Linked DNA regions of Lytechinus pictus. The protein of the gene in region 4 purifies or fractionates together with the protein of the main gene of each other region. This does not show direct contact. Links are inferred from orthologs where the notes say so. Each region holds a gene or a part of one and is shown on either strand. Other genes may lie near its edges. The genes, in order: prefoldin subunit 4-like, prefoldin subunit 1-like, prefoldin subunit 3-like and uncharacterized protein LOC129254733.

Region 1 (6,969 bases), about 35 Mb from region 4:
TTCTTAAAAGCTGCGTTATAAACTTATGAAAATTTATTATTCATAATAAGTACCACATAAAACCTTGTTCATGTATCAGTAAAGAGAAAATCCCTCTAGTAAGGACTCTAAGGAGGGGGTTTTAAAAAAAGTCTCCTCTTTTACAGACATAGTCTCATCAAAACAAATATCAACCAAAATAGATTAATTCAATTATTTTCCAGTCTAGTTTTTCATATACCCTGTTTGAAAAGCCGACTATAGATTTTGATATTTGAAGGGCAGGGTCATTTTTCATGTGCTTTCATGTAGCCTACACTTCTCATTTTGAAAAAAATATATTGGAAGATCCTTGGCTTAGGAAAATATTATTAAATTTGTTATACGTAGGTATCATGGTATCAAAATTTACCTTTTTATTTGCAATTTCATCCTGGATTTCTCCAAGTTTATTACTCTTCCTTGCAAACTTGTTGATCTTCTGCTGATCTTCAAATGTGACATTCACATCATCATCCTGAAAATAACAAGGAATTGAAATTTTGGTATAGAACAATCAGAGCAAATCAAGGTGGGAAAGTTGACAAGTCTGGCAAAAGTAAAGCAGAACCCAATCTCTAAAATTGAGCACATCCAGGCTTGAACCTTGGAAGAGTAATCCCTTTCAGCAGCTTCAAAGCTATCCCGGGATGAAAACATTATGTGTATCAGTGCAAGGTGCCATGGTGAGGTAATTTAAAATTTCACTTATATACATTAAAAGTGAGTGTACACCGTCCAAGTAAAAACTGACTCTTGGTTTACAGCATAAGAGACCCAACAGGAGGCTGCATCGTGCAGATGAATGGCAGTGCGGCCTCTCTAAATACAGCTGGGTTTGTTCCTATTACAACAGGTCCTGGTAGGTGATTCCAAATTTTGACAGTACGTGGGAAGAGAACTTGTATACATCAGTGGTTGCTTTCGGGATAGCATATTTAAGGATGTGATCTTGTCTTCCAATATATGTGGCAGGACAAATGGTAGGAGGAAAAGGTACAGCAACTAGGTGATGATGAATTATATGGAAGAGAGTACACTGAGCAAGAAGATGGCGTGTATAGAGACTATCCCATCCGAGTGCAGACACAAGGGCCAGGTTTGGCACGTTTTAGATGGTGTGTTTTAAAACATGTTTTAAAACACCCATTTTTTTTGCAAAAAAAAAGTGTTTTAAAACACCGCTTAGGCTTGTGTGTTGTAAATTTTGCATGGATGTGATTTTAGATTATTTTTTTTAATACTTTTATTTCTGAAGTGGTGTATTATTTTCTTCTAACTAATTAAAACACTTTTTCAACACCACTTTTTTTCTCCTCATTTTCTTTTCCCCTAATTATTCTCCCTTTTTGGGGAATGCATGCATGGGTATGCGACAAGTTTTTAAAAAACTTGCTCAAAAACGTGATTCATGTATAATAAAGCAAATTGTGAATTCTTGCCAAAATTCGTAAAGTTTCATTTTTTTGTACTTTTTGCTGATTGAAAAATTATTGCCTGTAATTTTAAAAAACTTAAAAAAACATTTTATACTGATTTTTTTCTTCTAATATAAGCATTTGATCAAAATTCTTCAATTAAAAAAATAAGCAGTTCAAGGCCTATATTTCTAGATTTAACTAAAATTGGCATAATTGATTCAAATGAAATAAAGCATATTGAAGCCCCATACACTGTAGATTCTGTCATTTTCTTCCATTGTGAAAATTCTTCTTGCCCCCCCCCCCCCTCCCCTAGATTGACAAGACTCAAAATACCCCAGGCCCAGGACTACATGTTCATGTATGAGGAATAAAACTATAAAATGGCAACTTACTTTAAAGTTTAGTGTTCTTTGTTTAGGCATTCAATTTCCATGAATTAGTAATTTTTTGGGGAAATATGAACTTTTCTGTTGGAAAGTCAGTAACAAAAATTGTAGTCATCTCTTACTTTACTTATTCCAAAAATGTATTTATTACATAAATCAGACTGTATAATAGTTTAAATGATTTACGGAAAATTGCATAATTTGTTTAAAAAAACGTTTTAAAACACTTTAAAATAATAACAAACATTATTGCAGCCGAATTAAAGTCACTGTTATTTCCCCTTTTAAGTTTATTTTTTCCCCGACGCGACGGTTTTGGTGCATTTCAGGCCAAAACAGAATAATAATCTTTTTTTTATTTTGGACAAGTTTTTTTTTAACATATTTTTATGAAATAAAGTCATAAAGACCCTATTGGCTATGGAGCCAAATGATTTCAGCGGAACAACCAACATAACAAAACAGAGACCGAAGCTTTTGGTCTAATCATAACCTTGTTCATTGATTCTTTGATTTGAATGAGTGCACCAGGGCAGTAGTAGGCAGTACCACATTTTATTTTTACAAACAAATTTGTAGATAAGTGGGACCGTCACAAAAATATTTTCTTCAATTCCACCACTAGCACAGTCCCCAACACAGATCAAATAAGATTTTCATCTAGACATACGTCAAGATAGATCTATACTTACACCACCTGTGGCTTTCTTCATTGACAATGCCATAGCTGTAATGACAAAATTAGAACTTTTAAAAGAAAAGTTTCTGGACGTGGGCCTGTCTTTCCAGCTTTCAAACTCTAACCAAGAGATGGCTCACTTCCAAATAAATATTGGGCGTGCGTCATCGCATCATGCATAGTCATTTTCTGAGACATATTTTGACCCGGGAGTTTCGGCGAAGCTCAATAATGATTTCCGCCAGCGGAATCTCGCGCTCGCAGCGTACATGTAGCATCGACCAAGAAAACTCAACGACGCCACCGCCTTACAAAATAGATAGAAATTGAAGTCAGGATTCTACACAGAATCAGAGAGAGGAATATAGTTTAATCACAGAGGGAAGTATTTTAATCTCGGGCGGCATTTATGTAAGTTCTATCTGTTTGTAGATTTTTTAAAATTCAATTTTTATGATCGATTCCGTTCGACATGCGCCATGCCATGCCATGCCCATGATCATCATGATCATGCATTCATGGACATGTCTAGACAGGAATAACCGTCGTTTCTGGGGATTTATTCAACAATTTCTGACATTTTACTGTAATCCCCATTTACCGACGGTAGGGTGTACGTGTGGGCTCGCATGTGTTCTCATTCCCTCCCTTTTGTCAATTCACAGTCCAAAGTTTGATGTATCATGTAATTTTACACATCGAATTTACAATCTAAGGATGTATAAACAACAAACTTTTAAAACTTGATGTTTTAACATTTAAATACTTTAAACGATATAGATGAGAAAGGCATGAAAAATATACTTTACCGATGTTTAATTGGGTTGAACACGATAAAAATGGTCAAAATGGCAGCCAAACTATAAAATATTTACAAACGAACGTCAACAACAGTAGAGGCGCTGGTCAGAAAATTGGGATCGTCCCAGTTTACAGGGACTGTCTCAGTTTATAAGGATTTCTTCACACAAGAAATCTAGGAAAGTTCATTCACCTGTCAAGTGCCGACACCAATCAAGTGTGCTAGTCAATGTAAACATATCGGGTTTCATAACAAGATTATTGGAAGACAGTAAGTCATGAAAAATAGACGGTGAACTGGGGGGAATTGAGGTCACTGAATCTATTTTTAGCACTCTCAATTCCCGTAATTGCTGTCTTTGTCCCGTAGGGGGAAGTGAAAAAAAAACGTCCCCATAAACAAGGACAGTCTCAATTTATCAAGACATGATTTGTCTTGGTTTATGAGGATATCCTCGTTTTCTGGGACAATCCCAATTTTTGGACCAGCGCCTCTACTGACAATCACGAATGTGATATCGATATTGCTCTCGATATTATACGATCTGCTCCATATGCGAACGAAACCGAAGATAAACGATACTAGTTATACTAGTACTAGTACTAGTTATAATCGCGATATATCGATTCGAGACATTAAGTTAATACGATAATGACGTCATTCAAGAAAAACTGTCAGGTCAGGTGAAAATGTCTTAGATGACAGATTTCTCAATCATCCAGAGGATTTTTTTCAATAACTCCGGCCCAAGGTATGCAATTACTTAAGTTATTTATATTTCCCTGATAATGGAAACCATGAAACTTTCAATTTTGCTTAAAAAACAGTTTTAAATCGCGATCTATAAAACGCTAGTTCACTATACATTGGCTGTAGGTACGGGGCCCCATCCCCTTCAGTCTATGTATGGTGAGTGGAGCCAACGTAGTTCAGCGGAACAACCAAAATACAGAGACTGAAGCTTTTGGTCTAGGACATGTCATACTTGTGACTTGTGTGTGTGTGTACCGGTATGAAGAATTTTGTTTGGATGAGTAGATTTCTAACTGTTAGTGTTAGACCTCTTTGACTTTGTGTGCAGCTGCAGAGCAGCAGAGGGTTACGACTAAAGTTAAGGAAGGTGATAATGATTGATATGGTAAGTTAATTTTTCCAGACATAATGTTCCCTGACTTCCCTCGAGTAGCAGCGACAGGAATACCTCGGGCGATGTTCGTGCAGGCTCCACTCCACTTCACTACCGCTACACTCTGCTCCACCTACCCGAACATCAGGACCGTGAACCATTTCGGATATACCGAGTCACAAAGGTGGGATGGCAATCATGATAATCGTAAAAATTAAACCCAAAAAATATAAAGAAAAAGATGATTGACTTGATAATATCTTACTCTACACCCGTATTTCACTCCGTTTCCATCCTCCGGTTATCCTCAAAATTGGTGCTTGATGCTATCTTTGATTTTTCTCTTTTTATTAAAAATCAAATCCACTTTTTGTTGGGGTGGACTTGCCTTTTGAATTAAAGGACTGTATTTTTTGTGCACAATTGTACCTGCTTCTTGCAGTTCTTCTTAAGGGGCTTTCACAATCGCTCTTGCGATCGTTTGCGATCATTTGGTCACAATATATGTTGCACACAATTGCAACGGTTGTAAGCAGAGTTGCACCACCAGTTGTGAAAGGGGCTCAAGTCGGACAACACTCTGACCCTAATTTCAATGTGATCTCATTCTGTGAGATGCAACTATATCTGACAGTTGTGTTTGTTTTCTTGTCCAAGGTTGTGATATTATAGACACTAGAACTTTTGACTATTTGTTTGTTTTCTCATTTGACTTTTTTACAGGATCTATTGTAAGATGGAACTTTAAATATTAGGCAGCATTAAAACTACTTAAAAACAGTTGAATTAAAAAAAAATCAGTAGAGAGTAGAGACAGTCAAAATGGCCATTTACCATAGGCATAACAACTTGCTAAAAACAGTCAAAGACCCCAACCAATTGAACATTGACTCAAACCCATTGAAATTATGATTTGAGAATGATGCTTATTTTATCTCTATTACCGTTCTGCAACATAACACAAGTTGCAAAACAAATAGATTTTAAATTATATTTTTGAAGGAAATTGAAACTGTTTGTAAAAAAAAGTCCAGTAAGAAAAAAAGAGCTATAATTTTCAAATATTAGTTCAGATTTGAAAATATTTTCCATGTTTACAATTATTATTGTCTCAAATTATTTTCTAGAATACGGTTTTACTTTGAGAGGCAAGAATATTAATAGAGGCCACAATATTAGAATTGCGGAAGAGGTTAACAGTACTCGATGTTAGTCTTAGATGGACAAAGAAAAGTGGATAGAGAGAAATGGAGAGGCATCTGGGACTCACCAAGTGATGTACCATTATAAACCTCTTCTGTAATTAACACTTTATGCAAGGCTCGACATTAGCGGTGGCCCGGGGCCACCAGAAATTCACCTCGGGCAACCATTATTGAAAAAATATTAAGTTTTGGTGGCCCGAATCGGGCAACCAATAATTTTCAGAATAGCGCAATTTTTCTCCCCATTTTGCACGCATTTATCAACTTTCTACAAACACACACAAAATTGGCCTACCGCTATAGCATTAAGTAGCTTTTATCCAGCCGGCCGCGCTGGCCGGCTGGCGTGAGCTTTGCATGCCTCAAGCAGCTGTGAGTCAGCAGCCTATATATTCAGACTCAGGGAGCTGCAATACGAAATGTTGCAGCTAAGAAATCTTCCACAGAACTGTGAAAATCCAAGTCAAAGTCACATTTTACACCAATGAAAAGCCCTTCTACAGACCTTTTTGCCAAAATCTGGTGTATCCTGATTATTTTCAAGCATTTAAAAGAGGAATCATGACCTCTCTTTTGACTCAAAAAGACCGATTTCCAAATGAAAATAATGCACATAAAAACACATAGGTGAGTACATCACAGTCCCACGTGTGCATTTGTATGTATGTTGATACTTTGTTTCTTTCGAAGCTGTGTCTTTTCTAGCCAAAAATAAACAGACAGTTACTTTCTTTCTTGTTTATAAATGACTTCTTAAACAACTCTTGAGAAAGTACATAATTTGGGAAGGCATTTCATTAATATGAAATGTGAATTTTTCCAACATTTTGGCAAATATAGGGAAGGAATTTTCTCACACTTTTTTTTGCCGTTTTATTATTTTCTTTCATTTTTTTGACAGTGGTTAAAAAACCATTTATACCCATTTATTAATTTTCAATGTTTTTCTTTATATTTTTTGGGCCACCAAACTTTAATATCAGGCCACCCAAAAAAATTATTTGAAGGTTTTGGTGGCCCGAACGGGCCACCACCAAAAAAAGTTAATGTGGAGCCTTGCTTTATGTTTTTGGTTTTGTTTGTCAAATTGACAGTTATATTATTTAAAGTTCAAAGCCACCCAGAAGAATGTTGATTTGAATAGATAGAGAAAAATCAAACAAGCATAACACTGAAAATATCATCAAAATCGGATGTAAAACAAGAAAGTTTTGACATTTTAAAATTTTCAGCATTATTGCTTGTCTGATTTTTCTCTATTGATTCAAATCAACATTTTCATGAGGTGGACTTGATCTTTAATGCGAATTGCTCAATGCTTTTGTAAAG
Region 2 (7,100 bases), on a different chromosome or scaffold from region 4:
AGAGAAGAAGAAGGGAAAAGAGAGGAGAAAAAAAGAAAGGGAAACATAAAAGGAGGAAGACGAGTGAATAAGATAAGGGGAAGACTTGGAAAGTAATAATAAAAAATCTTTCATGCTGGGATATATAATTTTTGCTCGCGCTTCGCGCTCGCATCGCCTTTTAGGTGATTTACATATCTTGCTCAATGTGGAGCTTAAATATCAAATCTTGAAGTCAATATACAAAACATATTTCAGCTCGAAAATTTAACTTTCATTATTTTGTTTGATTTGCAAATTTGATTTTTAAAAAGTGTTCTGTAAAATTTTTAGTTGTATGGTCTGAATATTAACATTTCTGCTTGCGCTGCGCGCTCGCAAAATTTGATTTGTCAGGTACCTATTATTTTCCTGTAAGTTCCATAAAGTTATCAAAATATCCCTATTCAGGTCAGATTGTGAAAACGTATCAGCTAGCGCTGCATGCTCGCATTTTGATTGGTGAGTTATGTTTATCTCAATATTAATTCTAAAACAAACTACTTAAAATCCCCATTTGATCACATGCAGTTTATCAGAAATTTCGGTTCGCGATTTCCGCTCGCATTGATTGTTGAAATATATCAACTCATGCATCTTATTCATAATTACAAAAATGCTTTAAATGTCCAGTTTTCAGGCCATAATATTAAGAGATTTCGCGCTCTCATGCTTAGGAAGAGAAATAGGAAGATAGTAATCATTTTCATATGATGACATAATGTCCCGGTCCTATGTCAAAACTCAAAGTAATAATAATGAAACTTATCAGCTCTTTTTAACTGTGATCCATATCCACCTCACAATTTTCCCACAAAGTGCTTGAAAAACAGAGCTTAAATTTACCCTTTTCAGAGCGGAATATCATATATTTTTAGCTCGCGCTTTGCGCTCGCTTTATTGGTTTTCATGATAAGAAATGTATTCAAATTATCCTAATTCTACACGTTCTAGGTCGAAATCTGAAACACGCGATAATTTAGATACGCAGCTTGTTCTCTATTTAAATCATTATCCAGTTTCAGATCACAATATAAGAAATTAAAAAGTCAAAAGGGGCCTAAGCTTTCGATCCTAGCAGAATCTTCGGCGGAGGCAAAATGTATAATATAAAAAATTGTCTGCTCGCGCTTTGCGCTCGCATTATTAATGTGGGAAAATTTCCAATTACTCATTTTCATGATTTACAAATCATGAATAGAGTGTCCGGAATTTTTCCGCTCGCGCTTCGCGCTCGCATCAATTGTTTAGTTATTATACTTATCCTTTTCACGATTACAAAAGTGCTTAGAATTTCCATTCTTGAGGTAGAAATGTCAAAATTTCCAGCTCGCGCTTCGCGCTCGCATTATTTGGTAGTTAAAATATGTAACGTCATCTTGGCTAACACGCAGCCGTTAACATATCAGATCAAAGCGTATATCAAAAATAAATATAACAATTTGTACTCGCGCTTTGCGCTCGCATTATTAATGTAGGAAGCCGATTTCCAATTACTCATCATTTTCATGATTTACAAAATATGAATAGAGTGTCCAATTTTTATGTTTGAATCTCGAATTTTTCAGCTCGCGCTTCGCGCTCGCATTAATTATTTAGCTATATACTTAACCTTTTTCATTCTTCAGGTAAAAATGTCAAAATTTTCAGCTCGCGCTTCGCATTATTTAATAGTTGAAATATGTAACGTCTTCATGGCTAACAAGCTGCTGGTAACAGATCCTTTTTTTATCATTAAAACGTATATTAAAAATTTCTGCTCGCGCTTTGCGCTCGCAGCAATTATTTACTTAGATACACATTTCGTTTAGGATCATAAACATTGCCCAAAATGTTTGAATTTTAAAACAAAATACATAAAATAAACAAAAAGCTCGCACTTTTTAAATAAGGCTTATGATATTATATATGTTAATAAATTACCCCTTCAAAGAAAGAAACAAAAATTAACTTCGAGCGGCCGATCGGGGAAAATGTGGGTGAAAAAAAATTCCGGCCCCCCCCCCTATTGGCGAAGGCTGGATCCCCTGTGACATACGGTACACGTAGCGGTGGAGTATGACAAAAGTGTAATGGATCTGGAAAGTATACCCATAAAAGTGACATGCTTGCATGTGGCTATTGTGTCCCCCCCATGCTCAAGTTTGGATTGACGCCCATACATTTGGTTTGATATTGCTAAAACAAGAATAATCCATTAACCTTTGAATTTTTGAAAGTCCAATACTTATGAACAGATGTCTCCAGTCTTGTTGAAAATAATTCTTGCAATAGCTTTATTTTGTAACAGTGACAGTTCTGGTGAGTGTTTCATAAAGTTACGCACGACTGATGACCTTTCTTGTGCCACACTATCCCTATGTAGCTCACTTAGCACCGATATGCTCCAGTCGATCGTAAAGTTGTGCGTAACTTTACAAACAGCTTTATGAAACGACCACCTGATTGTTTTCGTTCCCTGTTCTGTGCAATAGTTTGGAATGATTTACTTAGGCCTAACTCCAGGAGTTTTTTCCCATGATACTCTAAAAGTCCCTTATAATGATGAACTTTCCAATCTAAAGGTTTCCATCAACATCCATATGCGGCACCAGGATATAACTTTATAGCGTCCGGGGAGGGAGGGGGGGGGGGGCAAACGACCTAATGGTGATGGTTTATTTCACATTCGTCTAATGGCAATTCGTCCAATTGCCAACTCGTTAACTATCATTATTTTGGTCTACCATCAGTTCGTCCACTCACCACGTGTCTATTTTTATTTAGTCTATATGCCATTCCGTCTAATTACCAGGTGGTCCAATAGCCATTTAGTCTATTTACCATATGGTCTAATTTGACTAAGTGTTTAATTGTGCAAAATGAATGAAAATTAAATGGATATTAGACCAACATGGTTATGAGACAAAATGGCCATAGACGAAACGGGGATTATAATAGACGTAGTGATTAGACCAAATGGTTGTTAGACGAAATGTTGATGATGGATGGAATGGCATTAGACTAAATGTGAGTTGACGAGTTGGCAGTAGACGAATTGGCAACGGTAATGCAACCTCTTGGCTTTCCTTCCCCCTTTCTGCCTACGTTTCTCCTCCCCCCCATGAATTTATTTACACTACAAGGAAAAAATCAGAGTGGAAAGGGAGGGGGGGGGGGGCCAGGACCAAAATCCAGTTGAAACCAATTAGAGCAAAACCAATTGAAACCAGTTGGCCAACTGGTTTTAATAGGGAAATTGGAACAACTGGTTCCAATTGAAACCAGTTGCCAATTGGTTCCAGTTGAAACCAATTAGGCAACTGCATCTCGGTTGGTTCCAGTTGTTCCAATTTCCCTATTAAAACCAGTTGAATCCAATTGGAGGCAACTGGTTTCAATTGGTTCCAGTTGAAACCAATTGGAGGCAACTGGTTCCAGTTGAAACCAATTGGTTTTAACTGGATCCAATTGGGACTTCCAGTTGGAATGAACTTAATTAGTTACAAATCAATTAGCATTTGTACTAACTATTGCTCATGCCAGCACAGAAGCATTGTTATATGTCTATAAATACCAATGTAAAGGGCATTGATGAAATGTAGACTCTCATATATATATATGTATATTTACATGGAGGAGCTTCGAATATTTGTATTTGATGTAATTTGGTAACAGTTAGTGGTATACTAATTATCTTTTAATCTGTTTTAATCATAATCTATAATATTTATTGGATGTTGGTCCTGGGGGGGGGGGGGTGGACAGCCGCCCCTCCCTCCTTGTGGCGCAGCCCCTCGCCACATCTATCATGATTATACCTATAGCTTTTTAGCATGAGATAGAACCCTCTTGAAATCTAGCATTATTATTGGCAAATTTTTTTCTTTCAAAATGTAACATGATCATGATAGGCCTAAATAGTATGCCAAGAATTTAGGACTAGCTTGAATTAGAATGTATTTTTGCCTTTTCAAGATGGGGAGATTTTTTTCAACTTTGTAGGATAAATTTGTCAGGAAAGGTTTGCTTTTATCTTGTTCCCATATTCGTTTATGTGGCATGATTTTAAAATGCGGCTTTAGCCCTCTCTCGGTCGTAATTGAACAGGAATTGGCTGTAGAAGAGTACAAATTGCAATCATGGCTGTCGATCTTGAGTTGAAAAAGGTAAATAAATCCACTTTTTATCCAAATCAGTCTGATAAAAAATCTGTGATGATTTTATGATTATATTTTTTTTCAAATGGGGGTGATTTAAGTACGCGAAAGTGTACAAAAGTTACCAAAATTCATTGGCAAGTGATTGCTCGATGCAGAGGCCGAGGTTCAGCTGCAGCGCCTGTCTTGTCAGCGAGTCGTTGGGCTTCATCTGCGGAGAACTCCCGGGCAACAGCGAACTGGTGATGCGATGCGATCTCCGAACAGTGGATGAAATGAACTGAACAGTGAAAGTGAAACGAGAAATTACACAACATAGCCATCAGAGTGAGAGGGAGTGTAGTTTGTAGCCATTTAATGTACTAAATCTTATTGATAAAACTAAATGGACGTGCCATTCAATCAGTAGAGCCTAGGCGCTGGTCAGCAAATTGAGATTGTCCCAGTTTACAATTACACGAACTGTCTCAGTTTTCAAGGATTTCTCCACACAAGAAATCTAGGAAAGTCCATTCACCTGTCAAGTGCCGACACCAATCAAGTGCGCTAGTCAATGTAAACTTATCAGGTTTCATATATTAACAAGATTATTGGAAGACAACAAGTCATGAAAAATAGACGGTGAACTGGGGGGGAATTGAGGTCACTGAATCTATTTTTAGCACTCTCAATTTCCGTAATTGCTGTCTTTGTCCCGCAGGGGGAAGTGAAAAAAACATCCTCTTAAACAAGGACAGTCTCAATTTATCAAGACATGATTTGTCTTGGTTTATGAGGATATCCTTGTTTTCTGGGACAATCCCAATTTTTGGACCAGCACCTCTACTGTCAATGATTCATCATGCCATTTGCAGTTTTGTTTTGTAGCTGTTTTTCCAACTAAAGGCAAAGCAAAGACAAGCCAAAGCAAAGCCAAAAGTAGACGGGAATAACCGTCGTTTCTGGGGATTTCCTTAACAATTTCTGACATATCACTATTCACCGACGGTAGTTCGTTAGTGTGAGCTCGCATGTGTTATCACGTCCACCAACTCGCCGACTAGTCATGCTAGTACTGTCCAGACTTCAATATTTTTAAAAAAATTGAATTTACAGTCTAAGGATTTAGAAACTAACTAAATAATGTCTTGAATATATAAAAAATAAGGAAATATGAAAAAAAGAGATAAAAAGGTATGAAAATAGTACTACCAATAAAAAACCAAATCATTATTTTTTTCTTTCTCACAATTACGGCAATATCGGACTTTATGAAGTTGCGTGAGTGATCCCAGAGCACATGAGAGCAAAATGCTCGCCAATCTTGTAAATTTTTTTCGCTTTTCAGCGGCCATAAAAATAGTAAATATCAAGCAAATTGATGCGGCAATCAAAAACGGAAGCGGGCGCGGACGAGAAACATCACTTTTTTGTAGAAAATAGTAAATAGTGAAAAATTTCATGCGGCGGCCAAAATAGATGCGCGCGAGGACGATCAACTACTTTCTTTTTTTTACTTGGCCTTATGAGTAGAGTCTAGATCTAATACCAAGTTTTCAGTCGAGAAAATGTCTAGAATTAGCCTTGAGGACTCTGATGATTTTAATATTTTTACAAATTTATACAGATACATCATGTAGCCTTGAGACTGCGTATAGGACTGCATAGCGAGACATCGGTTACAGTCAGTTCATTATTTTTATCTTGAGTAAAGTCCCCAAACATCGGACGGTTCCAAGTATCGGACGAAAATGACTTTAACTCCCTCCCCATAACTACAGGGACCCGCACTGGCAGGGGACTTACATGCATAAGATACATGAACATACCTGCTATTGAACTGCACACACAGTAGATCCAAGTTGCTGATAAAAGAAAATATTCCCGGGGTAAAATCCATGATTTTGACTTCCAAAGATTCTTATGACCCTCGCTAATTATGGACTCCAAAAGATCAATGACCCAAAAAAATTTGTAAGGGGGAAGTGATTTCCGCCAGAAATATCGCCACTGAGATCGCACATGTTGAATCTATCGCAAAAAATCTGCAATGGCCGCTGCGGGGGTTCTCTAAGGCGGGAAATGTGACACCCTTCCGAATAGATGAATTTTGCTGCTGACTCATTTACATGTAACTCACGACTCAACAGAAATTTCTCCTTGCATGCCATTTTCATACTGTATCTCACAGTATTTCTGCATTAGAGATCCTCAACATTTACAACAGTAAATTTCTTTGCTTACTTTTGCTCAGGCATTCCAGGAGCAGCAGATCCGTATGATCGAGACGACGCAGCAGCTTAAGATAGCTGACATGCAAGTTGAACAACTGAAGAGAAAACAGCAGCATTGCAGACTGACTGCTGCAGAACTGGCTGCTCTTCCTGGAGAAACTAGGGTCTTTGAAGGAGTAGGAAGGATGTAAGTCTCTATTCTTTTGAGTGAAATGCCACTGCTGCTTTTATCTCCAGTATCTTTTACATGGGTGCCTTTTTACTTAGGCAAAAGCATAAAAGTCACTTACTGTACGTCCCATAAAATATATGTTGAGGGAACTAGACTATTACTAGGATGACCCAGGAGCAGCCACATAGCTTGCTGGCCTTCCTAGGGAAACTAGGGTCTTTGAAGGAGTAGGAAGAATGTACATTATTAAAGTCTCTGTTTTCCATTAAACTGCACCTCAGCTATTCCATCAAGTATCACATTTAAGGATTTGGTACGTTTTACTATAAAGGGTTTTCACACGTTGCACCTGTAACACAAAGCTTAGCAATCATTGTATAAGAATATCTTTTCGATTGATTGCATTCACTACTTTGTAAAATCAGTCGTATAAATCAGGCGTACGGTCAATCGGTTAACCTTTGTGTTGTGGGACCCTGGACATTTTAGCCAGTGTAAGCCAATGTACGTACATGTATAATAATCCTTTATAGCATTAAGAAGTTGTGGCCCAATTAA
Region 3 (7,643 bases), on a different chromosome or scaffold from region 4:
GCAGTGATACTTGATTACTCTTATGTCCAAGTTTCATGAATCAGATCCATAAACTTTCAAAGTTATGATGGTAATTCAACAGATACCCCCAATTCGGCCAAAGTTCATTGACCCTAAATGACCTTTGACCTTGGTCATGTGACGTGAAACTCATGCAGGATATTCAGTGATACTTGATTACCCTTATGTCCAAGTTTCATGAACTAGGTCCATACATTTTCTAAGTTATGAGGACATTTCAAAAACTTAACCTTAGGTTAAGATTTTGATGTTGATTCCCCTAACATGGTCTAAGTTCATTGATCCTAAATGACCTTCGACCTTGGTTATGTGACATGAATCTCAGGCAGGATGTTCAGTAATACTTGATTAACCTTATGGCCAAGTTTCATGAGCTAGGTCCATATACTTTCTAAGTTATGCTGTCATTTCAAAAACTTAACCTTAGGTTAAGATTTGATGTTGACGCCGCCGCCGTCGGAAAAGCGGCGCCTAGTCTCACACTGCTATGCAGGTGAGACAAAAATTGTTGGCTAATCTTGAAAAGGCTCTGCTGTGGTAAAGGATACTGACTTCAGTGGTGGTGTACTGGTCCCTGAGGAAGTCCAGGTCCTTGTCAACCTGAGTCTGGCTCTCTGTTGCTGCTTTCAGGTTCTTGGAGAGGAGAGCCTCGGCATCGGACAGTTCGTACTCCAGCATCACATTAGCCTGAAGGAGAGAAGGAGGGGCATGCACACGTATGCAGATTATACCAATTTAGGTCTTTAGTACATTGCACTGTTAAGAGCGCCCCAAGAAAATCACTACAAGATCACCACATTACCTTGAGCACCAGCAACACCTGACACAGTACAATCCTCTCCAGGACAGCATATAAGTTGCTTTTGGGGAGACTAAGTTATGTAAAAAGTTCACTTATTCTTCTGTTAAGTGCTGTCCCCATTGCAAGAGACTACATTTGCAAAGACAAGTGTAGTCAAACTTGGGTCATTCTTGCTATTCATGGTTACAGGAAAAATTACAGAGAACATTTGATCAGAGTGGAAACCCCTTAGCAAAAATGTTACATCACTCATTTCTTTTCCCCGTCACATTGCAGAAACTCTCTAAGGCTTGCCAAGAAGCATTCGCCAATGGAGTAGAGACATTTTTTGCACTGCAGCAACAAGCAAAGATTTGGAGTCGAGGGTCTTTCCCTCTGATGTGATGCACAGCAAGATGTTGCTACAGGCGTTTCTACCAGGCCTCTCCACTCATCCTAAAGCTTCACTAGTTGGTTTGCAATCAAAATTGAAAAATAACATAAGCTCTTAAATGAATAAATTCATATTCCTCCTAGAGTATTTCACAATGAGTTAGATATAAATTAAATCTGTTTTATCATGCTTAAATGCCTATGCGTACTCGGTATTCAACACATAACCTCATTGATGACTACAAGGTATTGCGTGACTGCAACTGAACATGATATGACCAATGCACTGATGCATGTGTTATACACCGCATGCAAGTGGGAAATACAGTTTGCTTTTGAGTAAAAACTTAAATCTTTGAAAAAACACCCTATTGAACTACAAACTGATACTGGTGGTGAACCCTGACTTACCCCTAGCCACAGACAAACTTTCTTGGTAGGAAGAATAGTAGCCTTGGCATATACTTGGTCTGATAAAAGAAACTGTGTCTTTAACTCATCTTCAGAACCCTAGGAGGACAAAATGAAATGGAACAATTTCGTGGCAGCATAACTGAGATATGAAATATATTTACATCAATCAACTGCAGAATTATTACAGAATAATTTGTTACAAGTAACATAACATTTTAAAGAGAGCGTGTAACATTAAATAATGAAAATTCTTTAAATAAGTTAGATAAAAAAAACAATGAAAACAAGTTTGATGCTAAACACTGAATACATAACATCGATCATGCATGCTCTTCATCTTTCAAAAAGGATTTCTTTTAATACAAAGTAAAAAAAAAGTGCTATATAATGTATACATCATGTAATGTACAAGAGTTTCTTTTTTGTTTAAAAGAAATTTGTTTTATATGGTAATTGAAATTAATGAAGGTTATATTTACCTGTTTACTTTGTAAATGTTTGACAATGTCTAAAGTTGTTCTAATATCAGGAATCTGGCCCTTTAATCTGTGATCAGAGATAGTAAATGATTAAAATATCTTATTCAAGAAAAAGAAATTAAAAATTAATCATTCAATACCATATTCCTTGGAATTTAAGTATAGATTCACTCAAGATGGCTTCTTGAGCAACCAGAGAAGTTCTATTCTTTTAATCACTTTTATGCAACCAATCGAAAATAAAGAAATTTAAAGTGGGTGTCAGAAATCAGTCAATACTTTTGCATAAATACGTTTCTTTCTTTTTTCTCAATTATTATCGTGATTTCAGGTGGCTTCATACATCTACTTGTCATTCATAAATTTCATATATGCAGCCATTAAAAAAAAAGGTCAATGGACTCCTGAAATCTATGGTAATGAAAAATTCATCAACAAGCCAACAATTAAAATATGGGATTATTAATTATACCACTGTATGTACAGAAAATAAGAGACAAACGCACCTTCTCTTTTTCTGCAATAAATTCATTTCCATGAATTTATACTTCTGATGCTGTTCTTCTAATCTCTTCAACACAATCTCAGCAGACTCATTCTGGGGTTTCTGCATAAAACTGTCTACATCTTCCTGTAAATCAAATTGAAAATATGGAGGAAAACAATTCGTATTTTCTCAACGTCTTAATTTTTTATTTTCATCTTATCTTTATTTGTTTTCTAGGGTCTTATTCATTTTTTTGTACTTTCTCAAGTCTCAAACTCTATCTTTCTTCAGATTTTATTAGCATGCAGCAAAGAAATTACTAAATTTTAAAATCCGGAGACCTCTGCAATAGCTCAAGATCTATAAAATGTGGGATGAACAAAGTTTTCTAAGACCATTTTTAAAACCTTGCAGGCTTAATTGTCTTGAATAGTAATGAGCCAAAGATCAGGGCACAGCAACATTGTGCTGTGAAATAGTGGCAAGGGCAGATTGCCAGACAGACAACTGAAACTAAAGTGTTTTGTTTGTCTCGCTGAGCAAGTTATCAGCCCATTGACATAGAGTACCAAGGTGTGACGTCAGTTGCCACTTGCCATGGTGCAATGGCGGGCTGGTTCTAAACAGAGTCGCAGCAGATGGTCGTCTGTACACATCTTGGCTCATCTGAAAAATAGGGTGCAAGCGATCATTCTGATAGCAGCCATTTTCTCCTGTGTAAAAACACATGCTTTCATTCCGGGTTCATTTGTTTAGAACCAAGCCGCCATGACACCATGGCAACTGATGTCATGGCTTCGGTACTCTATTGTGCAACTGCTTTCCATGTCCACAAGATATAACTTTTAAAAAAGCCAAGCCCAAGAATAAGATTGTGCTGGTCACTGCCATCATCATCAGCACATTCTTCTTTCTTTCAATTCCCAAAGTTTGATTTTTAAAACATTTGCCGATTTTTAAAAACATGTTGTAAATGAGGAATGATTCTGATCTTATCATATTTTTTTCAAGTTCAGACAAATATTAAAATCTGTCGGCACAGGAAATGAGTTATCAGTTAGTTTTCCAATTCCAATTTCCAGGCCTGCACTCCTGCAGTAGGGATCCCAAAACGAAAATCTATTTTTTTTAATCTATGTTTAAAAGCATTGAAAAGTACCTCACCTGAATCAGCATACATGTATTCAAAAACCCCAAGTGAATGACTTTTAGTGTTCCAAAGAGATCTAAATATCTGTTAATCTGAGGCTAAAGTTGGTCCGAATTGTGACAGATTTGTGTACAAATTTAATTTTGAAATTTCGTCGACACATATTCACAGAGCTCGGCACTGAACGAGGGATTGTGGGCGTGTCCTTTCTCGCCTCGGCGTATTGTTACGTAAATACACAACTCGAACGAAAGTGCGTTCACCGTCCCAGTTAGTCTCGGATCCGAGCTTATCCAAATAAACAATGATTAAATAACAACAAAAAATAGAAAGAAGAGAAAAGAGAAAATAAATGGCTCAAATGCAGTCGTTTGGTGACGGATAGTATGCTGTGACCTCTTGCTGATATAAGGATTAGATATGACAAGTTTTATGCCATGATAACTAAAGCATGGGGGGCGGGGGCACTCTGACTTTCAAAATAATTAATTCTTTAAACATCTATATCTAGGCAAGGGAGGGTCCAGGATTTTCCAAAGGGGGGGGGGCACTATTAGCGGCGGCAGTCAAAAAATTTAGGGGGGCACCAAAATCTTTGACAAAAAAAGGTTATCAAAGGGGGGGGACCGAAAAAAAAATTAGCAAAAAAAGGGTAACAACGTCCCCCCATAGGCAGCGGGGGGGGGGGGGGGGGGGGTCGTGTCCCCCCTAAATTTGAGGTGGGGGGACAATCGCCCCCCCCCCTAATTTTTTTGTTGATAACCTTTTTTTTTGCTTGACAATTTTTTTTCCTGCGTGCCCCCTAAATTCCAGTGGACCCCCCCCCCCTAAAAATTTCAAGTGGTCTCCCCTAAAATTTGGGTTGATAAACTTTTTTTTTGGTGGGGGGCCTATGGAGGGCATATTTTCCCGATGCAAATTTGATAAGCATTACAAAATGTTTTTACAAAAAATTCAAAGTCATTTCGTCCCTAAAAATTTACAAGCAAAAAAATTGGGCCTATATATATATATATATATATCCTCACTTTCAAGGGGGCATGCTTGGGTAAAAAGGGCATGCTAATGTTACAAATTACAATTTTGGCTCTCGATAATTATGCCCCTTGGATCCACCAGTAATCTAAGGGGAATTTTTTGTTTTTAGTTTTGATATGGCTACCTTCTCGGAGGGCGTCCTCGCCGCGGTAGCTGGATAGTGCTGCAAAAGAGTAGGCCTTATACATCTTTTGCAGCATTAACTGACACTCCGAGACTTATAATTTAACCTTATACTTAAAAATGAATAATACAAAATAAAACATAACACTTGTTTTTAGAGAAAGTTGATGTCAAAATATATTCAGTCTGGGGCATGAAGACTTGGAACTCTGCCCCATATCATTGTACTTGCCTCGCTCGATTTGTATCATAATTTTTTTTTTATGTTTCCACAATAAAATATAGATCTAAGTACAATGGCCAGAAATAATAGTACGAATAAACTAGCAGAATTTGTATCATATCACCCATATTATTGAACGCCAATAAAGGCAGTCTCTAAAACTTGTTTGCTTTATCCCACTTTTCCACTAAGATCTATCCCTTTTGCGTGTCATATAAAAGCAATTTTGTGCGCAGATCTAGCGTAACGGTGGGACCACATGCAGTCATTAATAGGTCTCTTTAATTTTTTTTCAACATATGATGTCTCATGCTTTCTTTAAAATTAATAAATTAGAATCCTTGTATATGGCCCTGAGAAGTGGGGTGCTCGGGTTGTTACCCCCAAGATTTATTTTTTTTGGGCTGGTGGTGCGTTTTTTGTACACGTACGGCAGGGGGAGTGGAGCGAAGTTGGGGGAACAGAAAAGGGGCACTTTTTAGTGCTTTTAGAAGTGGGGCATTGAGCCCGCGCCTATCCCCTGGATCGCCGCCCCTGCACCAGAGGCAGCACCCCCTGGAAATCAGTTTAGTATGATATTCGACCAAAATCAACTTATCTTTAGAGAGATAATCTCTTTCTTTTGGCTTTTTTTTCAAAGCCAGCAACCCCTCTTTAAAAGATTTCTTTTCGGGCAATCCTCATGATTATCTCAAAAATTTGAACATTTTTTCTTCAAAGCATCTTTATAGTGACGGATGGTATAATCATATTACTAGCAGTGGCGGTATGGCCAACCCCCCCCCCCTCCCAGTTTTTTTTTTTCAAGTAGTTTAAAACAGGAAGAAGAATTACATAGATTTTTGTACCGAATTATTTTCATTAATGATTTTATTGGTAAAAATACAAAAAAAAAAAAAAAAAAAAAAAAAAATCAATTTTTCATGTTTAACCCCACTTTCAAAACTATTCCTCGGTTCCTGGAAGAATGGAGAGATGGATGGAAGGAGAGAAATAAATAGGATGAAGGGTGGATCCAGCTTTCGCCAAGGGGGGGGGGTTTCTTTCACCCATATTTTTCCCCAATCGGCCGCGCAAAGATGATTTATGTTTGTTTCTTTGAATAAAATGTCACTTCTTAGCTTTTGTCTTATAAATCAACATAAATATATAATATCATAACTCTTTTTTATATAATGCGAGCGCAAAGCGCGAGCTAATTTATCATTAAAAAATATGTGTTTTTTCCCCAAAGTTTGAAATTTCTGGGCAATGTTTATCATGAAAAAGATGTGTATGCAACTAAATAATTACTAAGAACGCGAAGCGCGAGCAGAATTGAAATAATAGGCACTTTTTGTAACTTAAACAGGATAGGTATATAACTTAGCAATTGATGCGAAGTGCGAGCACAAAATTGGAAGATTTAGACCTAAAAACAAGACATGTCTATTCATGTATTTTAAATCATGCATGGAAAGGATATCAAATTTCCGATCTTTGTTAAAGCGCGAGCATAAGATTTTTGTTTACGTTTTCAACTGATCAAAAAGGTACCTGTTAAGGACTGCTTATTTCACTTAGCCATGGGGAGACGTTACATATTTCAACAATAAAATCATGCAAGCGCGAGCCGATTTTTTTGGGGGGACACTTCTACATAAAGAATGGAAAATTTAAATCAATTGTAACCATGAACAGGATCGTCGCTATAAAACAATTAATGCGAGCGCGAAGAGCGAGCGGAAAAAAAAATCGAGATTTAGACCTAAAAATGGGACACTCTATTCATGTTTTATATATCATGAAAAGGATGAGATAAGAAAGAAGTAGTAGTGCATGGGCGTTATCGCCAATAGGGGGGGGGGTGCCAATTCGTCTACGGCAAACTCGTCCACTCACTACATGGTCTATTTTCATTAAGTCTAATGCCAATCTGTCCATCAACATTTCGTCTAACAGCCATTGGTCCATTAACCATTTGGTCCAATCATCACTTCTTCTAATAACCATCTCGTCTATGACCATTTAGTCACATAACCGGTTGGTCTAATAGCCATTTTATTTTCATAACATTTATAGTCCAATTAGATGAAATGGTATATGGACCAAATGGCTTTTGGGTCCACTGGTCATTAGACGAAATGGCATTATACTAAATGAAAAAAAGACTATGTGGTGAGTTGACGAACTGATGGACCAAACGATAGTAGACGAGTTGGCAATTAAACAAATTAGAAATAAACCGGGGAAGGGGCCGAAAAATATTTGCTCTGCTCAAAGTTAATAGGGGTAGTCCTAACAGTCACTTCTTTATTCTCATTAAACAGCATACACAAAACACAATATATAATAATCTTATAGCCCCTATAGTGCGAGTGAGAAGCGCGAGCTAAAATATCTTTGAAATTTCATGTTTTTTATCCTCAAAATTGAACATTCTGGGCAATGTTTGTGAACTTGAACAATATGCGTATTTTAATAAAATTTCTGCGAGCGCGAAGGAGGAGCAAAAAAAGAAAGAAAAGAGAGAAATATACATTCTGGTCTGATCG
Region 4 (7,173 bases):
AAACCGTTCTGCGGCCCCTGGTATTCAATGGTAGTTCATTTCAATACTTATTCCAACTAATAAATACATTCCACAATTAAAGGGGAATCCAGCCTTGGCCATAAAATGTTGTGTTGGGAAGGAGAAAAATAAATTAAACAGAATGGTGAAAATTTGAAAGAAATCGGACAAGCAATAAGAAAGTTATAGCTGCTTTAAAATTGGGATCACTAATAGTATGTAGATTTCAAATTGGCAACTGGGTAAGTAAATTATGACAAGGGGCAAGGACAACTTTCCCATAGGCCATGTACTTTATTATCAGGGTTTTGTGGTTTTCTCCTAAGTATCCATTCCCCTGGGGCAGTAATCTAAATATAACCCAGGTAGTATATTGTTTAATGTCCTCATGAAAGAAAAATGTAATTTGAAATAAGACTTTTCGGAAAAATGACATTTTAGCCATAATATGTAGTGGAGTACATGGAAGAGTAGTCCTTGCCTTACATCACTATGACATCCCGTATGTAGCCAATTTGAAGTCTCCATGAGTATAGTGATTATCAATATTTACAACTTTTAAAAATTCATAACTTTCTTGTTGTTTGTCCAATAAGGTTCAAACTTTCACATATCAACTTGTCTAATTTATCTTTTTCTTATAAAAACAAGTTTTTAATTGGGTTGGATTCCCCTTTAATTTTGTCAAGACAAAGTCAAATAATAACAATTTCAAAACTAATTTTACACATGAAAGTAATGCTTGTTTGTATACCTGTTCCTATCTTCTCAAGAGGCTTATAATTTGAGTTTCCTATGTCAAACTTGACATCCATGCATCTGCCCTTAAAGGCAAGAAGACTCCGTGATGCAGCTTGTTGCATTGTGTCAGTTTACTTATACTCGATCCAAGTTCAAATCGAAGGCATCATTGAGATCTACAGGTAACAAAAAAGCAGATAAAATTATTCATCGTTAATATAATTATGTAAAACATGAAAAATGTAACTTTGTCAGCAGCCTCTGGCATTATATCACTAATTGTGTGCATTGTTTGTAAGGAGTGAATGCCAAGGCTATGCAATTCAATGCACAAGGCACTTCTGAGTTCAGACTAAAATACAAGTAGGCCATTACCTGTTACAATTTTAATTTGAATATTGTACTGTAGGTGGTTTAATAACAAGCATGCCTCAGAACATGAACGTAGGTCTATGAATTATTGTGAGTGCTACACTTCCACCCAAGATTAGATGTGGAAGACAGCAAAAAGCATTGGCAATTTGGAAATCGATATTTTTGCATTTATGACTGACAAATTTTTCAAATGACCAACCATGATAATAGATTACAAATTCTCCAGACATAGACATGTCAATATAATTTGGAGTTGTTGTAAAAGCAATGGCAAGCAAAAATAACCTAGCAAAAACATGAAAGGGCAAGTTGTTAAAAGGCTATTGCAGGGTGAAAGTTTTTTAAAACAGTGCAAAAATAAGGTTAAAAAAACCCCTAAAAATTGCATAAAAATTTGATGAGATTGAGAATAATCAAAAAATTTAATGTAAAAGTTTAGCAATACTTCAGTAAACAGTATATACATTTCTTCATGAAAATGCAATGAGTTGATGATGTTATCTCTTCAATCATTCTGGGTAACTTTATCAGAGGAAATTATGTTTATTCAAATTCCATCCTCCATGAATGTAACTAGCACAACAATGATGTGGATCTTGCAGCAAAATTCAGCCCAGTTGACATTGAAGTGAATTATAATGGTCACATAAATTGAGGACACAGAATTGATATTAATGAATAAATGACAGAAAAGCATTTTTTTTTATTTATGAATAAATTTTGTATAAATCAGCATTAATAATTTTCTCGTCAAAATTTATAAATTCTGTGTAGAACCTTGGTGGACCTAATGAGGCTCTCAGAATTGTCAGATGGAAAAAAAAATCAAAATCATTCAACAAATAAATAAGCATATTTTGTGAGTTATGAAAAATATGCATAAAATAGCATATTTAATGAGTTTCAAAATTCTGTGTAGAAATTTAGTATCCCCCACCTACTGACCTAGAGCTATCATATAATACTTTTAATACCAACTTTATTACGATCTTGGCTCTAGTCTTGCCTTCAATTCAACAGCTAATTTGAATAGCACATGGTTTTTGTTAGTGAATAATTTTTACTCTTTTATGAGCCTCCTGGCTAACCACACAGTAGACCAAAAGCTTCAGTCTCTGTATTTTGGTTGTTCCGCTGAACTGCGTTGGCTCACTCACCATACATGGGGATTACAGTAAAATGTCAGAAATTGTTGAATAAATCCCCAGAAACGACGGTTATTCCTGTCTAACCACACAGGGAGTACTAACAACAGAGAATAGGGATACATCATTCATAACCTTCAACCTTGTATATTGAATAAATGCAATTAGGGCAAGCCAATGCCCCGGGCCCAGCGCACCCAAGGACATTGTCATTACATGCCGCCGCGCACAGAAAATTCAAGCCATAGAAGTCGTGTGTTGTGGACCTAAGAAGTGAGATCCCAGCACGCGCGACCCACTAGTTAGAAATCCACTGCCAAACGCGGTTCGTGGTGCGAGGTTAGTATACTAATACTAACCTCGCAATACGTGTGAGTGGGCCCAGCGCGCAAATGGGAAGATTTTACTTCAGTCCTAACAAACATCAGATGGTACATGCGGGACCGATATGAACATGATAAATAATTTTGCAAAGAAAACAGAACCTTCCAAGGCCGACAATAACAAATACGATTAAAACGTATCCAAAATAGATTTCACAGTAGTAATAAACTTACAAGAGTCAAGAATTTTACCTGAGATGCCGTAAATTTGACTAAAATCCTTTGTAATTTGGGTAGAGAAGGCAGTGTATTCGCTTGGGCGTTTACTCCTGTATAAATACATCTCGTAATCTAAAAATAGAACTGCGATAACTCTTGGCCAATGAACAACGAGCGAGGGCGACGAATTTTTAATGACAAAAAAGGAGTTGCGAAACTAAATTCAAAACAACTCCACCCATTCCTGATCCGCCTTCATAAAATGTATGTACTCCAGTGAGGAAATAAGTAAATAAATGCTTATATAAATCACATTGATCAAGAGAGGTAGACCCCTTATGCTTTTCTTAAAACAGAATACCAGACACGGGCCAGTAACATTATAGACCGTACCGTAGGTACCGGTATGTATTTTTGTCATTTTTGTAAGCAAGATTTTTTTACTTTTCATACCAACCGAATGCACAAAAATAACTTTAAACAAAAAACATTGATTTTCATCCCCGGTTTTCACCATCATTTTACATTAACATCACAATTTAAAGGCGTTTGTGATCATTCACTTTTTTTTTTTAATAATGGAAAATGTGTCCGCGGTATATCATAACATGAATTTCAGGGCTGCAAATAATCAGCCGTCGAAGCATATTCAATTAATTTTGTTCATGGCCAACATTTAAGCATGCATCATATCATAACATGAATTTCAGGGCTGCAAATAATCAGCCGTCGAAGCATATTCAATTAATTTTGTTCATGGCCAACATTTAAGCATGCATTTAAAGGGATTCTCCGGGCTGAAAACATTGGTATCTAAATGAATAGAGTATAACATTCACAGAGCAAATTAAAGGCTGAACATTTCATCAAAATTGGATAACAAATAACAAAGTTTTTAGATTTTAAAGTTAAGCAATTTTGTGATAATAGTTACGCACGTCATCATGAATATCCATTAGTTAGGTGATGATGCCACATATATCCACTTTCATATTTCAGTGTTAATTTTTTTTCACACATGTGTGAACAATGTGTCTCCTTTTAAATGAAATAATTTATTAAATCAGTTGTCAATCCAATTTTTTCAGTTCTTGGTAGAAAAACTTTGAATAGACCTAATTTAATATAATACATGTAAAATACAAAAGAACAAGTGGGGATATGACATCATAAATTTGCTCATTGAATATTCATAAAGACATGCCTAGAATATTTGTTTCACCGGAATAATGCAAATCTTTAAAATACAATTGCTTTGTTATTCCTTGTCTGATTTTGATCAAATTTTCAGTGTTTTTTTTGTCTGATTTATCTGTTCAAATCTTATTATTTTCAGCCCGGAGCATCACTTTGAGCAGCCCCCCTCCCCATCGTGCGGCAAGAGCAGCCAACCAATAGACTATATCCTTAGTTAAAGTTTTTTTTCGAGAAGAAATGTTTTCCTCGATATCAGTAACACGGACAACTAGTGGCGTCGTATCTAGGGCAAATGGCACTCGGGGGAAGTGCTAAAATCGCGCCCATTTAAAGTATATATATATATATATATATATTAATAATTGTCAACAATTAATGAAGAGGATTTGTATCTCCAATATCAAATCAGAGAGTGATTAAAAACTTTGACAATTAAACGAGAAAAAAATGTATTTCAGAACTATTTGTATTAGAATTAATGGATACATATCAAAATGCAATCCAGTAGCTAGAGATGAAAAGTTACGATATTTGCGTTTGAAAAGGAAATATTTTAAGGACTGTTCTTTGGAAATCCTGACGAGGATGAATAAGTACATATACTTATAAAAAGTTGGAATTCCACGTGTTCGGGGAGGAATGAAACTTCGTTTCACATGACAATGACGAGAAAATCAAAATATTTCATATTTCATATAACAAAATACAATGGAAATAGTGAGTGGGTGATGTCATCGGTCCCCTCATTTGCATACCGAACAGAATGTGCATAAAACTGTTTTGTGAAATTAACGTAGAGTTTTTCCTGTCCAGACAAAACTGTTTGTACAACCTATCTTTTTTTAAAATTGATCATAACAAATTTTCAGTAATCCAAGGTTTTTTAAAATTTTCTTTCTACGAAATTGATTTTTGACTACAAAATTAGATTCACCTTGACAAGAACATTAAATTTTATTTGAAAAAGTATTGTAGTTTACTACATGATCATCGTTTATGAGCATATCATTCCTAAGTTTAGTAGTAGACAAATCGTGTTTCAAATTTTAAATAATTACAGCATCAATACGCTGGCATGGATTATGATTAATAATTATGATTTTGTTCAACATAGCTTCCATACCAAGGTTCAAAGCCAATTGAAAGATTGGAAAATGATCAGTTAAATCTGTATAGAAAATACCTGAGATAGTATTGTTAGAATGAACATTCGTTAGTATATATAACATGATATAATATAATCAATCAGAGAAACAGTAGAATTAATAATGCATGTTGGCTTATCTATCAGAGGCTGCAATGAATTATTACAAATTATATTGACAAAGTCATCAACGTGTCATTCAGGAAATGAAATCCCCCATCAAGTAAATATTCTTCTTTTCCTTGAGCAACTCCTGAAGGCACTCATTTATCGATTGAGTAAAGTCTGTGATAGAAGTTTTAGGATCTCTGTATACAATTGAGCCCATGTCACGTCAAACCATAGAGCTATAGCTCTATGGTCAAACCATGAAGCGACGATTATAAACGTTAATTTTGATTAGTCACCCATCCACCTATTAGTCCTACAAAATTTCATAAAATCTTCGCCCAAAAAATAACTCAACCTATAAAAAATACAGAATAGTAAATAATGCGCGTGAAACCTGATTGTTCGTGGAAAGGGTAATTAAGGTTGGTTGGATGGTTATTGTTTATTTTACAAATTTCTATTTAATGTCAGTTTTTTTTGCTTTTGTTTAAAAATACATATTTTCAAAAAAATATAAGATATAAAAATATATTTGTTTTTGAAATATTTCACGGTTTCACGGTTGGTATGTTGAAAAGCTCCAGCTGGAACATCACTCAATATGTATGTATCATAGAGATATCTCTATGGTATGTATAATCATGATAATATAAAGTTCGAGACGTAGATGGCGCTGCATCAATTCATATTTTTGTGATATATGTTAATTGCGTAATACAACTCACACGTGTAAATCGTATTGTGGCTTTTTTCTAAAGAAATAATTTGACTCATGATTGATTTATTAGTGGAATAGGAGTACGTCACCATGCCTGTTGGAACCAGAAGCAGTTCTAGACGAGGAGCTGGAGAAGTGGGACTAGGAGACCAAACAGAGTCTTTGGGTAAGTGATCTTTCAGTCACTAGACAGTAGCCTAGGCCCTAGTGTAGGCTGTAGCAGCGCAGCTCGGCTGCCTGGCCCTTGTCATGATTGTGCAAGATGAGCTGTGCGACTGTGCCTGCGCTGCCCCGCGCTTCGTCCATTCATGCATGGTATGGTGATGACAGCTGGCACTGGCAGCCGTCTGTTTCAGGGGTTTTTTTAAACATTTTTTTTATATTTCTCCTCGTACTCAGACGGCTCGCTATCATACAGCCACCATAGGGGGTATAACAATGCAAAATCCCCCCGACGTGGCTCATCGATTTTTGTCTTTTTTTTGGCAGAAAAGAGAAAACCGCATGCATCTTCATCATGACTTTATAAGTTTATGATATAAATTCTAACGTTATAACTTATATTGACTATATTTAATTATGAAATAGAATAGAAGTTAGTAATAATTTTAGTTAGGTTTAGTTTGGTTCTATTTTTGGTGTTTCCACTTTAATTTTTATTTTAGAAATTTTTGTAAAAAAAATCTGATATAGGCCTAAATCAAATAAATTCGATTTTTTAAATAAAAAAATTGAATAAAAAATATTGCCAACCCTGGTTTTAATTCATTTTTGTCTCACCTGCATAGCAGAGTGAGACTAGACTATAGGCGCTGTTTTTCGGCGGCGGCGTCAACATCAAATCTTAACCGAAGGTTTAGTTTTTGAAATGACAGTATATAATAAGTATTACTGAATATCCTGCCTGAGTTTCAGGTCACATGACCAAGGTCAAAGGTCATTTAGGGTCAATGAACTTTGAACAAGTTGGGGGTATTTGTTGAATTACCATCATAACTAAATTTAGATTTAAGTCTGTTACGCTTAGGAGGTATTCTTTGCAGTGATGCAAATTTTGATTTGCACTGAATGTTGACCAGGGTGAATTCTCCTTTTAAGGCATGGCAATTCCATTTTAAATTACATCTTCAGTAAAAATACTGTAAAACACCTCATGTGTTCCCATAAGAAAGTCTATTTAAAAAAAGAGATTTTTAAAGA

The links.
Region 1: the proteins of uncharacterized protein LOC129254733 (region 4) and prefoldin subunit 4-like purify together in Homo sapiens (affinity purification with mass spectrometry; 3 studies listed by BioGRID and IntAct, with this or other methods). This does not show direct contact. The link is inferred for Lytechinus pictus from reciprocal best matches to the Homo sapiens genes MAPK7 and PFDN4.
Region 2: the proteins of uncharacterized protein LOC129254733 (region 4) and prefoldin subunit 1-like purify together in Homo sapiens (affinity purification with mass spectrometry; 3 studies listed by BioGRID and IntAct, with this or other methods). This does not show direct contact. The link is inferred for Lytechinus pictus from reciprocal best matches to the Homo sapiens genes MAPK7 and PFDN1.
Region 3: the proteins of uncharacterized protein LOC129254733 (region 4) and prefoldin subunit 3-like purify together in Homo sapiens (affinity purification with mass spectrometry; 3 studies listed by BioGRID and IntAct, with this or other methods). This does not show direct contact. The link is inferred for Lytechinus pictus from reciprocal best matches to the Homo sapiens genes MAPK7 and VBP1.

The regions. Positions count from the first base shown.
Region 1 is NC_087246.1:50,539,376-50,546,344, forward strand, and holds the start of prefoldin subunit 4-like, read right to left. Parts: upstream 3,014-6,969; 5' UTR 2,554-3,013; coding exon 2,521-2,553; exon of another isoform or gene 2,388-2,520; intron 497-2,387; coding exon 392-496; intron 1-391. UniProt on the Homo sapiens protein: Binds specifically to cytosolic chaperonin (c-CPN) and transfers target proteins to it. Binds to nascent polypeptide chain and promotes folding in an environment in which there are many competing pathways for nonnative proteins.
Region 2 is NC_087262.1:23,590,512-23,597,611, reverse strand, and holds the start of prefoldin subunit 1-like, read left to right. Parts: upstream 1-4,092; 5' UTR 4,093-4,139; coding exon 4,140-4,166; intron 4,167-6,390; coding exon 6,391-6,557; intron 6,558-7,100. UniProt on the Homo sapiens protein: Binds specifically to cytosolic chaperonin (c-CPN) and transfers target proteins to it. Binds to nascent polypeptide chain and promotes folding in an environment in which there are many competing pathways for nonnative proteins.
Region 3 is NC_087248.1:15,691,790-15,699,432, reverse strand, and holds the start of prefoldin subunit 3-like, read right to left. Parts: upstream 3,014-7,643; 5' UTR 2,702-3,013; coding exon 2,595-2,701; intron 2,156-2,594; coding exon 2,089-2,155; intron 1,706-2,088; coding exon 1,607-1,705; intron 709-1,606; coding exon 570-708; intron 1-569. UniProt on the Homo sapiens protein: Binds specifically to cytosolic chaperonin (c-CPN) and transfers target proteins to it. Binds to nascent polypeptide chain and promotes folding in an environment in which there are many competing pathways for nonnative proteins.
Region 4 is NC_087246.1:15,313,985-15,321,157, reverse strand, and holds the start of uncharacterized protein LOC129254733, read right to left. Parts: upstream 3,002-7,173; 5' UTR 2,837-3,001; exon of another isoform or gene 2,819-2,836; intron 918-2,818; 5' UTR 864-917; coding exon 755-863; intron 1-754. Other genes in the region: coiled-coil domain-containing protein 86-like, read left to right, coding at 6,064-6,139. UniProt on the Homo sapiens protein: Plays a role in various cellular processes such as proliferation, differentiation and cell survival. The upstream activator of MAPK7 is the MAPK kinase MAP2K5.